Caenorhabditis elegans: one gene and its partners. The protein of the gene in region 2 purifies or fractionates together with the protein of the main gene of each other region. This does not show direct contact. Each region holds a gene or a part of one and is shown on either strand. Other genes may lie near its edges.

Region 1 (3,550 bases), on a different chromosome or scaffold from region 2:
CTCCTTCTCGAGCAGCCATTAGTGAAAGAAGTCCAGTTCCAGTACCTGTAAATAGTAAACTTTAAAAACCGAATAAGTTGAAAACTTAACAGCTAACCAATATCTAAAACATGAACTTTCCCATCTGTATTTTCATGTTTTTTCTCAGCAATCGTAGTTTTTAATCCTGCGAGGAACTTGTCATTTCTATCAAAATCCAGAATCATATCTCCAAATCGACTTCTGAAAATTAACGTTTTAAAGCAAGAAAATGCGAGAAGTATTGTTTATTAAATTTTATTTCTATGCGGAATATTTTTTTAAAGTTGAAAACCTGGCAAGTTCCTGAGCCATATCATAATCCTCTTCAGCCACAACCCATTCTCGTTCGCCGGTTTTTTGATTTATCTTCTCAAGGAACATTTTTCAGAAAACCCTGCAAATTGTCTATCTTAAAGATATGCTCGTTTTAATGATACACTCAAGATATTTGCGATATGCACACAACTGCCAATTTACCACTTTAAAATCCAAAGAAACGAAATCAAGGAACGGAAGACTTATTTTTCATATTTGTTCAAATAAAAGGGGTTCATGCAATAAAAATAGTGCAATCAATTGGGAAATTGGGAAACTATACACAAAAATGTAAAAATAAATATGAAATAAACAGGAGCCAGAAAATGGAAATCAATGGGAAAGAAGTGGTGATGGGGACAAAGTACACAATTTCGAAAAATACCGCATTTTGGTGGAGGGATGGAAACAATATTTTGATGGGCCGAGATTAAATTGGAAAAAAGCTTCTAAAAACTCACTTTTTGAAAACTAAATATCTCAAAAGATCAGAAAGCGTTACTCATTTTTTGTTATGTAAAAATATGATAAGAAAACATTATCATTTTTTAAAAGTTTCCTTCTGTTTATTGAAACAGACAGCGTTAAAACTATAACTCTGGGTATTTTGAGATTTTTCTCGTGAGCGGAGAATTTAGAAACATTTTAAAATTTAAGCGGTACGAATTTTGCCAGGCACGTAGTTTTTGTCAATAGTTGGCTCCTGGAGGAAAATATGGAGAGAGCGTTCGTTTTGAGCAAGTGGATGTCCAGCAACCCTGCAAGAACATATTATTAAAACTTTTAGAAATGTGAAAATTTTCTGAGTTCATTTTGATGTCCGTATAGTTGAACAGTTTTACGTACTTATTGATGAATAACTCGAGAGCTTTGCGCCTATTTTCAATGAATTCCTCTTCAAAAATTCCATCATCGGATCGGAATGGCAGTTGCCGTTTGAATGATTTTCCTGGCAACGTTGGAACCACAATCTTGCTATCTCGCTCTAGTTCAGCACGAACCCATTCGAAATCACTGTATCGGCGACGCACGCTTGATTCTTTCTGCTTGAAAACGGGGAGATTCGACTGAAACAACGATTTTATTATGCGGTCAGTGTTAATCTATACTTACTCTCATTCTGATTTCGTAATCCGTGTAGCGCATTTTTCCAACACCATGAGTGATAGGATTGATAACCTGCAAGTTATCTTGATCTAATTCATTGATTTTTATTCAAACCTCAATTTCAAGGAAGTTGGCCGGCGGGGCATATGCCTCGTCCAGCGTTTGCCGTTTTGAAGGGATCCGCTGAGTTGCCGACGCGCCGGATGCCATTTGCACTGCAAATATTCTAAATTATATCAAAGTTGCTTTGAATTGTTTATTTAAGTATCGATTTTCACAATATAAACAAAATAAAAGTGAAATTTATGTTGGAATCCAAAGCTTTAATCGACAACATGCGAGAACATCGTTTGCTTTTTGTTTCGCTGTTCGGCAAACTAAAATGGAAAAAATAATATGAAGCTGTGAAAAATCAATAAATAAAACTGGAATTTCAAGGAAATTACGGCAAAAATGACTCATCGCGCGCCGATAAACAAAACGAATCAAGAAATGAAAAAAGTGGCAAAAGTACGCAAACACTTTTGTGTTAATGCACACAAAAAATTCAACCGTACCTCAAACTGAAATTTCAAAAGCAGACACCGCAGATTCATGGAATGAAAAAGCAGTGACTCGCTATGACTCAAAATTTTAAAAAGATTATAATTGATTCAAAAGCAAAAAAATGTTTCACAACAAATCTATGTTGTAAAATAATTGTTAAATTGAAAATTAATAGCTGACACCGCCCTGTGTCCGTGTTTCGTCTTCTTCGAAACTTTGTTTTCGTTCAAGATGGCGCGGCGCCGTTCTTTTTGAATAAAAAGAGCATTTTAAAAATTTTGTTGAATTTCTGTAAATTCTACTTGTTTATTCAGTTGTTCTGCGAAATTAAAGATTTTCTTAGTTTTCAGGAATGCCAAAAAAAACGTTCGAAAATTTAGAAGATAGTCATGGAAAAGATGTTAATATCCCAGTTGAACTGCCAAAAAGGAAACGAGAAGTTACACCGGAAAATTTGTGAGCTTTTATAAAAAATTCAAATTTTAACACATACCGTATTCCCTCTATTAGTCTTGCATGCAAGACTAATAGAGGAAATACGGTAATAGTCATGCACCCCTATTCTTGCCAGGCCAGCAGTATTTTGTCAAAACTTCAAAATTTTCGCCATTTTTTAGCTAAATTAAATTTTAAACTGTTCAAGTAATTGATAAAACAATAGAAAAGCATGTATTTTGCATGATTTAGACTGTTTCAAGTCAAAATTTTGACGATAAATGGCCAATTTAACAAAGCTATTGGATCTTCGAAAATTAGTCTTGTAGCCTCTAATAGTCTTGCAGTCCCTATTAGTCTTGCACCCCTACGGGTCTATTGAAAATTAGTCTTGCATGCAAGACTAATAGAGGAAATGCGGTATATTATTTTCAGACCTTCCACAAGCTCTACTGCTCCAACACAAAAACGGAAAAGTCTAGGATATTCAGGACGAACGGAGGAACCGAAAAATGTATTAATATTTTTAGTTGCAATGAAATACAATTCGGAACTTAATTGTAATTGTAATTTTTAATGTTTTTCAGATACACAAAACCTTCATTTCCCCTTTTTCTACGTCAGTTTCTCCTTCAAAACAAGGTCTTCGACGACGAAAGAAGGCACTGCCTGCCATAGAACCACCTGTATCTGTAGAAGAAGCAAGTCCATTACGTTTTGTGAATATCGATGTATTCTCTAGACGTATGGCTTCCGAATCATCAGATCACGATGCTATGATTGCGAAGTTGTTGTCGAGAAAGTTTTCAATTCCGATGGAGGGATATATGTGTAAGAAAACATGTAAAAATGTTTATTTTAAACGAGTTTTCAGTATCTGGTCGAAGCCTAGGTCTTGGTGGAAACCGTCGAAAATGTGCTCTATTTGATCCATATCATGAAGGTGCATTGATTCTTTATGCTCCTGAACATCTTAGTGAACACGCACAACTCAAGGAAGATAAGGATCGAAAGGTGAGAATTTTAGCTGCGAGAATCGAAAAAAAAACATGAATAAAAAAAACGACTCAAATATTGCAAAAATATGAATGTCCATTTTATCAAATTTTTCAGGTGCACGTGGTAG
Region 2 (3,430 bases):
TTCTGTAAAAAATTTATCTACGGAGATATGAGCTACCAAAGTGAAATTCGAAAATTGCTTCGTTAGATCGTTAAAGTTCTTCCTTACAGTGCTATTTTAAGATCTTTGAGAGCCCGCCGTGAGCTTGGTTCTGGAGTTTTGCCGCTAAAAATTCACGAGCAACCGTTTTAAGACATGCACTATCGAATGGCATTGGTCTCATATGCAAGTCCGATGGGCAGCTTCTGACGGTTCCCTAGTCAGCCGTGACTCCAGTTTATCTGAGAGGGTATAGGATAGAATATATTCAATATTACCCGCGTGGAAGGCTTGTTGAACTCAACGTAATTTGAAAAAAAGAAATCATTTGTTCAAAATAATTAAATCTGAAAATTAACATACGAAGATGTTTTTGCACTTTTTAAGTTGCATTGACACCTAACGATAATATGCATTTAATCGCTTTTTACGCATTAATATCAATGTGTTTAACTTTCGTGACTTTTAGACTTTTTCTCTCCTTCAAGAAAATTCTTCTGCCGGCAAAATGATAACAGATGATAACAATTTTATTTGGGAAGAGATCATAAAACCGATAATAAGTTTAATAAATTAGTTTCCGACAAATCCTCCGACAACAATCTTTTCACCATCTGCCATATTGACTTCAGTCTTTGGAGCAGCAGCTGGAATTCCAACAGCATACACGTCACGATTCACAACCAAATTACAAACTGTTTCAACTTGAGCATACTGCTTCACTGAAGCCTTCTTGAATGGGCCGAAAGCACGGAAATCAGCAAAAGTTGGCTTTGTCTCTCCAGAAGTACCACCTCCAAGAACATTCCAATACCAGAGCATGACATTAGAATTGATATTCGCCGAATTTCCAGTAATCTGGCTCCAGTCATATTGGTTTGTGTAAATTCCAACAGAGAGACCATATTGTTGAGCACGGGAAATTATGCTGTTGATAAAGTTGACGTTGGCAGTTGGATTGTTTGGCCAGTTGGCAGGGGAAGTAACCTGGAAAATTTGTAGTTTAGGGAAATAATTATTTAAATATTATGTTCGATTTTCTGAAAGATAAGAAATACACAAACTCGTGAATGCTTGTGAATTGAGAGGAAGTAATGATAAAATACTTTTGAGAAAATTCATAAATAGAGGAGCAACTCTCTATGAAACTGAAACTATAGTAGTACCAGCCTCAAAATGAACTTGAGGGAAATTCTAAATTTAAACTGTGTCTGAACTACTAACCTGAATCCAGACTGATCGGATAGTGATTCCATTATTGTTGAGTCCGTTATAAAGAAGATCAAGTTGTTGGTATCCTTGCCAGCTTGATATTGGCTGAGGAGTCATGTATGTCTCAATTCCCAATCCAGCTGAATAAGCATTTCTGATATTTCCAACACAATTTGAATCAAAAGCTCCATTTCCAGTTGGAACAAATCCACGGAGGAATACAACTTGATATTTTGCTTTCTTCAAACAATTCATTACTTGGACATTTGTTGGAAAGGAAAAATCGACAGCATTTCCCATTGAAGCGTCATTGTTAACAATTACTGGAGCTTCATTTGCTTCGGTATTTGCAATCGCAGCTTGGTTCGAGTCGATTTCTTGTGGTCTCGCAGAAGAGAGAACAAATAGGATAGTAAAAGAAACTAGAAGCTTGATCATTTTACTGATCTATTTCAGTGAAGATAAAAATTGTGGTTTTCCTATCAGTTTATATACAAGACGATGAGCTCTTTTCAGTGCACAAAATGACGAATCTCTCTGAAATAAGATGGGTTTCTTAGTCAGTTGAAAATGTCAACAGTGGTTTGGCTTCATTTTCTGAATTAATGAATGATAATTGATAAGAAGGCAAGAATACCAGTGCAGACTCTCTGTTGTCAATTAAAGTGATGTGATGAAAAAGAGGCCAAAGATAGAGAAAGAAACTTTCTACATGTTCCTTTACACAACATCGTCAGTGAGGATATTTCTCGAAGTTTTAGAACAAAGAGAACAACAGAGAGATGCTTTTTGAAATTCGGGTTTAAAAATGAGAAATTGTAAATAAATTTCAATGGATCCCCAAATTATACGAAATCTAGTGATCCCACCTCAAATGTTGTATTCAGAAAATTTGAAAGTGATTTCAAAAAATTAGTTTCCAGCCGCTGCAACATGGATAAGTTGGACAAATTTCAAATGTTAACTATTTGTAGGTAATTTTTGTTTTCAATATAAAGTTGCATTATGAAATTCGGTGTTTTCAGACAATTTCGAGTCTAATAAAGCAATAAAAATTTCGGCGACACCATTATTAATAACAAGTGTATTTTTGTGTGTTGATAATTTTATCGTTAAAAAGGTTATCGACAATCACATCGGAAATATTTATTTTGTATTATGCTTTCTGGTATCAAAGATTTAGTCGACAATTCTCATTCCTTGGATTCTCAAAATCCGATTCCACCAACACGAATCAATTTCTTCTCCGAACTCGAATTTTCTTGATGAGTTGAGAAGTGTACAATTTGAGACAAGTGTTGGTTTCCGGTGGAATACACATTTCGGTTTACAATCATTCCACAAAGTTTTTCAACTTGTCCAAATTGTTTCACAGTGGCCTGTCTCCATGGTCCAAATGGACGGAAATCTTCAAGAGTTGGAGTAGTTTCACCATCAGTACCCATACTCAGAACATGCCAGTACCACAAGAAAACATCAGAACTAAACGTGTTCCAGCCTCCTGTGATTTCCAACCAATCATAAAATGAAGTGTAGATTCCAACTGACAAGCCCAGATTCTGAAAGTAATAAAGTGAATAAGAAGTTGTTCTTTGTGATCATGATCCATGCTTCGAAAATTAAAACTTCTAAACAGTGTGAGTCAGAAAATGTACATTCCGCTTCAGCAAACAATATTCGTGTATGTGATCAACTTAAATATAATCGTCCTATAAACGTCTCAGGCGTGCCCCACGTTCAGAGGCGAATTTCGCGGAAATTGTTTTACTGTTGTTTTCCATGCATCAGGAGCTTCAGTTTGTCTCGCTAATGTTTGGTAACATACCTTCGCACTTCTAATCATATCTTGGATAAACTCAATTCTCACAGCCATTGGTGCAACCCAATTTGTTGGAGAAGTTACTTGAATCCAGATAGATCTAACATTAATTCCATTAGCAAGCAAATTCTGGTAGACCAGACTAATTTGGTCTGCTCCAGACCTTGTTGAGTTGATGTTTGGAGTGATGTAAACTTCACTTCCAAGTCCAGCTGAAAAAAAAACAAAATGATAATAATAGGATTATTTTGTTTATTTAGTCAATCTTACCTTCAAATGCATTGTTGATTGTATTCAAGGCATTTCGATCAAAATAAGTATTTCCAATTGGATTCAAAGCTCTGACAAATACAGATTTATAACCTTGATCTCTCAAACAAT
Region 3 (5,587 bases), on a different chromosome or scaffold from region 2:
TAATTTCCCTAGTTACCTTTCTTATCATTGTACGTTTTGGTTCAGAACTGGAATCAACTAGACATATTAGCAATAGAAATAGAGAAAGTACAGTACTAACTTGAACCATGATGGCCGCACAAGTGAACTTATGAATTTTATAACCGCACGGTGAGAGGCGGAAATAAAAATTAAAAGATTAAAAAACACAGTTTGATAGAAATTACTCGTTGTCTGAACTTTTTTAGAGATTAATCTATTTCTGCAGTACAGATCACTACCAAAATGAATACTATTTTGTAGAAAAACTGACGATCAAAAATTAAAAGTTTCATATTTTGTGACGGAAAATATTTTTTAGTTCCAAAGTTATTATAGAATAGTTTTGGCCGCATAATCAAATACAGATAATTTGCACAACTTCCTAGTGGAATTCCAAATAGTCTACATCGGAAGTACAGTAGGATCGCGTCGAGATATCGAATATGCTGTTAATAGTTGTTTTTCCTGCAAAGTTGTTTTTCACTGCACCGTGAGAACATTAGACATGTTTGCAAAGTGTAAAACAAAATTCATCAGGTGAACAAACGAAACAACAAACGGGGGAAAATTTGAATAACTGGGAACAATCGAATACATATAATAAAAAATTACTGAAAATAAACAAGATAACAAACGAAATTGTGCAATTAATAATCAACCATACGAATGTTTGAGATAGCACCGACAACCTCATCATAGCTTCCAATATCTTTGCGAACTGTGTTGATTAATTTCTGAGGAACCACTGGTTTTATTGTGTTCTTGGGTGTTTTGAGACCGATGATAATCTGAAAGAAATATATTTGCTAGTAGAATTTCAATAATTAATTTAGTTTACCTCATTAACATCTTCGAAGGACAGAACTGTGTAGAGAGTTGGGAAATACTCTGCGATATTCTTTTTAATCGACTTTCCGAATTCCGAATCGCGTGTAACCAAATTCAAACTAATCATTCCTTGTTCTTTCACCGAGTTTTTCATATTTCCTAGAGCTTCTGGGGTAAGGAAGGCGGATGGTGGGCATTGAAGAGCAGCGTTCTGACTTCCAGAAACATCCACAAAAATCACATCGTATTTCTCTTCTGGAAATAAGAATTGATTTGTAAAATAAAATTTGAACATGATATTTTAAATACCTTCAGGTTTCTTTGCAGTCTCCTGGAGATGAATAAGAGCATCTTGGATGACAACGTCAATTCTAGCGTCCGAATGGGGGAACGAGAAGTGAGAATTTGCGATTTTGAGTACTTCTGGATCAAGTTCCACAGCGGTTACATGAGCCTGAAACGAAAATTTAGCACTGTTAAGTTTCTAGACTTGATTGATACCTTTTTGAAATGTCTGACAAGATATGCAGTCAAAAGTCCACCACCTAATCCAAGAACAGCCATCTTACACTGAGCATCATTCTTGGCTAATGGTTGTTGCGGACTGATGGCTAGGGATCCGATCATCATTCTATGGAAATCGCATGCCAATTGATCGAGATCTATGACCGTTTGCTTCTTCTTTCCGGCTGTAATGTTAATTTTAAATTTTGAGGTGAGCATCATTAAACCGTTCTTTTTTAATTCTGATAAACTACCTCTCGTGTATTAACAAGATGGGAAATGTTATTCTTTTTCCACCGAAAATAATACAGAAGGATGTGCGCCTTTAAACAATACTGCAATTTTCAAATCTCGTTGCTGCTCAGTTTTCATTGATTTTTCAGTTGTAATAAATCCATTTTACTCTTTAAAGGGGGTTGAAAAATGAAATTTTCAACTACTAACTTTTCAGATAAGCTTCAGATTGTACCAGATTCATCGTATTCAGAAAAACTAGTCTTCTAGTTTGATTTCCTTCAACAGTAACTTCTTCAACACTCCAACCACCATTGATATCCGAACGTCCCGTTGAAACGGTTCGCTTAACATCGACTCCTCCGATGGATAGAATTTCGTACTGAAAATCGGGTTTTCATATGTTTCGTGTTCAATTCTACATACATTTCCAGTATTATCTTGTCTAACATCCAGCATTCCAACAAAATGTCCAATATCACTCTTCACACCGTCCATTCCTTTTTCATATTTTTGATTTCTGTTGAGGAAAACGATTGCGAGACGTTCGCGGCCACATTGAACACGAAGAGCTTTTCGTCCCTTTGGTGAGGCGAATAGCCATTCAGAATCACTGAAATTAATATAAGAATTCGAATTTAAAAATGTTTTCTATACAAACCGTCCAATTGGAACCACAAATGCGGCGAATGTGTCAATCTTCTTGGCTTCTGGATTATCAACAACACAGATACGATAACGTGGTCCTAATGATGGATCTGCTCCATGAAAGTCGATTGAAACTTCAGAGTCCAGCTTTCTAAATTAATTTCATTAATTTCAAGGGAAAAACTAAAATGAATTACTTCGAGCACAGGTAGATGAATTGTGAGAGCTCCTGTTCTCCACGAATAGAATCCTTCAATTCGTCAGTGCTATCGATACGATCAGTACGGATGGAGCTGGAGCGAAGAACTTCTAGAGGCTAAAAATATAGGTTTTATTTAAATAAAATAATTTGCAATTTATCTACCTACCAATGGATTTGGCATTGGTGCTCGCATTTTCGTGGCAATAAAGCAGAAAACTGGCATTGGGAATCCAGAAGCCTTGTTCTCAACTTTTTGAACACGTAGGATATATTGCTTTCTGGAATAACGTTTTACAGATTTTTGAGAAAAATGAATATTTTACAATGGATAGAAGTGATTAATCCAGAACTCGGTGATATGTGGTTGAGCCAATGTGACAATGATATATCTTCCACCAGAAGCCAATACACGATGAACTTCCTCGAACATCTTTGTAACCAATGCTTCATCGGATTCTGAAGCTGATGGTGGAAGAAGAGCGTCGAGAGTTCCTTTATCAATTACAATGGTATGTGCTTCATCGGCCATGGATAGCTATAACATATTATTTTCGAATTTCTTTTCTTTTAATTGTTCATTGTGCACAACGGGACATTCTCCAAACTCACATTAGCAGCATCTCCAGTCTCAAAAGTCATTCCGAGTCGTTCTTTATTTTTACGAATCTGTGTGGCAATAACAGATGGTTCTACATCAATACTGTGAATGCAATGAAATCCATTATCGTAGAGTTGGGTCGCTAATTCCGAATTACCACATCCAAGTTGAAGGAACGTGTCTTTCGGTTTCAAATATTTATCAATTACATTTGATAAAGAATTATAGTCACCGTACCTGAAAGAATTCAAATTTTTACATGAGAATCGAAAGCATTCAATTTTTGTGTATGTTGATGAGGAAAAATTTCTATCTAAAAAGAAGAAAAATGGTCAATATTTTAAGTTATTTTTCGAAACATTGATAATTTTTCTTTGACAAATCTGAAAAACACTTGATAGTGATGTGATAATTTTCTTTTAATTTTGTTTGAAAGACATCATATTTTAACAAAGAAATATAATTATTTAATTACCATTCGAATGGAGATTTTCGTTTTGCAAAGAAGTTCTTCCAGTACGCTGGATCCGTGAAAGATTGTGGCTCATTTGGAGCGGACATGGCCTGAAACTATAGAAACTAGAAAAATAATCATTTTAAATACTCGAAATAAAACATGAGGCTAAATGAAAACCAAAGAAAATAAAATTATAATTAAGAAGTAAAAAATATGAGAAACATTCATTATTAAAGTTAAGTAATCTTTTTTGAAAATATATCACATTGAAAATTGATAAACTGTCTTTGGATGATTTTGAAAATCCTGAAAATCCACAACCGGGGAAAAAAATCAAAAAGAGATGAAAGGATGACTAGGACAAATAAAGAGATAAATATTTTGCTTTGTGATTTGAATATTCTGCAGAAATTAAAGAGAAATCGAAGGCACAATGGGGGAAATATATAAAGAGGTCACAAGAAATATTTACAATTTGAATGCAAAAAGTTATATTAAAAAGATCAAATATCATCATCGCTCATTTCATCCAGTAGTCCAGACATTGCTACCGTTCCATTGTTCAGCTGAAAATCTACACATTTTTGAGAACATTTCGGGTAATTTTTTATTTATTTTTTCTTTAAAATAATTTCGAGCGATATTTGATTTTCCGATTATTTCAATATAAAACTCACACTTCCAAGTGCACCACCTCCTGCTTGACTCCTTCTTCCACCTCTTTCTAAATCTATCGAATTCCTTAATCCATCTCCTTCATCCTCATCCTCATCATCATTTAATTCGAATCCTTCGTTCGTCCGGTTACTCAATGGCCGATATCCTTGAACTGTATCGGATCTTCCCCAATTGGGATCAGATTTGAGTACGGTATTCTTACATCCATAAGCGAAGAATATTATAACAATACACATTGAAGGAATTAAAATAAGCGAAAAACTCCATGAATCCTGAAGAAAAATTATGTGCTTTTGATAAGCTTTAGAATTGAGTCAAATACTCTGTGGAATAACCTACCGTAATCTGATTAAATACGAAACCATGTGTCATTGGTAAATATCTGTTCTCTTTTAAAGCTCGTTTCACAATTTCCATGGTTCCATTATTTTCAGTTGGTGTGATACCAAGCACATGACACATTATATTGTACAAATCCACATTTGAAGGAATATCGGCAATCTGAAAGAATATTTATCATACAGTTCTCAAAATGCCTAGCTTATACCGTATAATTTTCAGAAAACGCTGGGCCTCTCATAATAAGGAAAGCTCTCATCTCTGGACGATCAGGATCTTGTCCGTGAGTTGATGAATTGAATTTTAATGTTCCGTTTTCTCCATATTGCCTGAAAGTTGATTTCAATAAACTAATCGTTGTAATATTTTTTCCGGTAAACGGATCAAACTGCCTTTTTTTAATATGATAATTCAAGAAAAAATGTCCCATTCCATCTAAAAATGATATTTGTTTTTGTTGAAAAACTTGACAAAGGTCTCAAATAGTGCCGTTAAAAGTTATTCTGCAAATGACAACATTCGGGCAATATTTAAGGTTTTTTTTCCAATTATTCAACAAAGCTAAATATTATTTTCAGATAGAATGCACCTGTTTCTGCATTACTATTGTTTACGTTTGCCAGAAAAATTTGCCGCACAGCCCGGTTGTAAACCACATACTTTTCCATAAGATCCTTCGTACACGAAAACGAAATCGAAGAACCGATTTGCGGCTCGAAAACGATTTTTCCAATTCGCGAACTGTTTCGATAATGCCATCTTTCTGGAACTTCCTCTCTCCAATGAATATTCACATCATATCCATGCTCTTTCACTGCTGATGTTAAATTTGCATAAATTTGTTTTCCAATTTCATCCGAGTGTGGATAAATCATATGATCACCCATTTCGAATCCAGCGCCAGATACATAATCTTTCACGCACATGACATGTTTGTGATCTGAATTTAGTTTTAGGAATTATGAAGATTTTAATTTCAACTATTTTAAATTATTACCTTTAATTTCTGCATGTCCATGATCAGCTGTTAGGATAATATTCACATCAGCTCCCAAATTATTATCATCGAATTTTTTGA

What was found. Proteins that work in one complex are often made in the same cells at the same time.
Region 1: the proteins of lys-2 (region 2) and snx-3 fractionate together in Caenorhabditis elegans (co-fractionation; one large-scale study listed by BioGRID). This does not show direct contact.
Region 3: the proteins of lys-2 (region 2) and metl-13 fractionate together in Caenorhabditis elegans (co-fractionation; one large-scale study listed by BioGRID). This does not show direct contact.

Annotation. Positions count from the first base shown.
Region 1 is NC_003279.8:9,062,746-9,066,295, forward strand, and holds snx-3 (Sorting nexin-3), read right to left. Parts: upstream 1,659-3,550; 5' UTR 1,654-1,658; coding exon 1,558-1,653; intron 1,516-1,557; coding exon 1,450-1,515; intron 1,404-1,449; coding exon 1,183-1,403; intron 1,095-1,182; coding exon 989-1,094; 3' UTR 533-988; downstream 1-532. Other genes in the region: prmt-7 (Protein arginine N-methyltransferase 7), read right to left, coding at 1-45, 98-222, 314-402; rad-54.L (DNA repair and recombination protein RAD54-like), read left to right, coding at 2,342-2,445, 2,860-2,938, 3,012-3,255, 3,299-3,438, 3,538-3,550.
Region 2 is NC_003283.11:10,279,777-10,283,206, forward strand, and holds lys-2 (Lysozyme-like protein 2), read right to left. Parts: upstream 1,699-3,430; 5' UTR 1,669-1,698; coding exon 1,243-1,668; intron 1,006-1,242; coding exon 592-1,005; 3' UTR 531-591; downstream 1-530. Other genes in the region: lys-3 (Lysozyme-like protein 3), read right to left, coding at 2,439-2,789, 3,056-3,261, 3,320-3,430.
Region 3 is NC_003282.8:6,633,101-6,638,687, reverse strand, and holds metl-13 (Methyltransferase domain-containing protein), read right to left. Parts: upstream 3,600-5,587; 5' UTR 3,597-3,599; coding exon 3,511-3,596; intron 3,273-3,510; coding exon 3,047-3,272; intron 2,973-3,046; coding exon 2,761-2,972; intron 2,716-2,760; coding exon 2,604-2,715; intron 2,552-2,603; coding exon 2,433-2,551; intron 2,387-2,432; coding exon 2,249-2,386; intron 2,201-2,248; coding exon 2,014-2,200; intron 1,970-2,013; coding exon 1,798-1,969; intron 1,539-1,797; coding exon 1,351-1,538; intron 1,304-1,350; coding exon 1,159-1,303; intron 1,105-1,158; coding exon 860-1,104; intron 810-859; coding exon 669-809; 3' UTR 533-668; downstream 1-532. Other genes in the region: C01B10.7 (TransThyretin-Related family domain), read right to left, coding at 17-109; C01B10.9 (Bis(5'-adenosyl)-triphosphatase), read right to left, coding at 3,996-4,058, 4,170-4,442, 4,510-4,671, 4,718-4,838, 5,170-5,449, 5,507-5,587.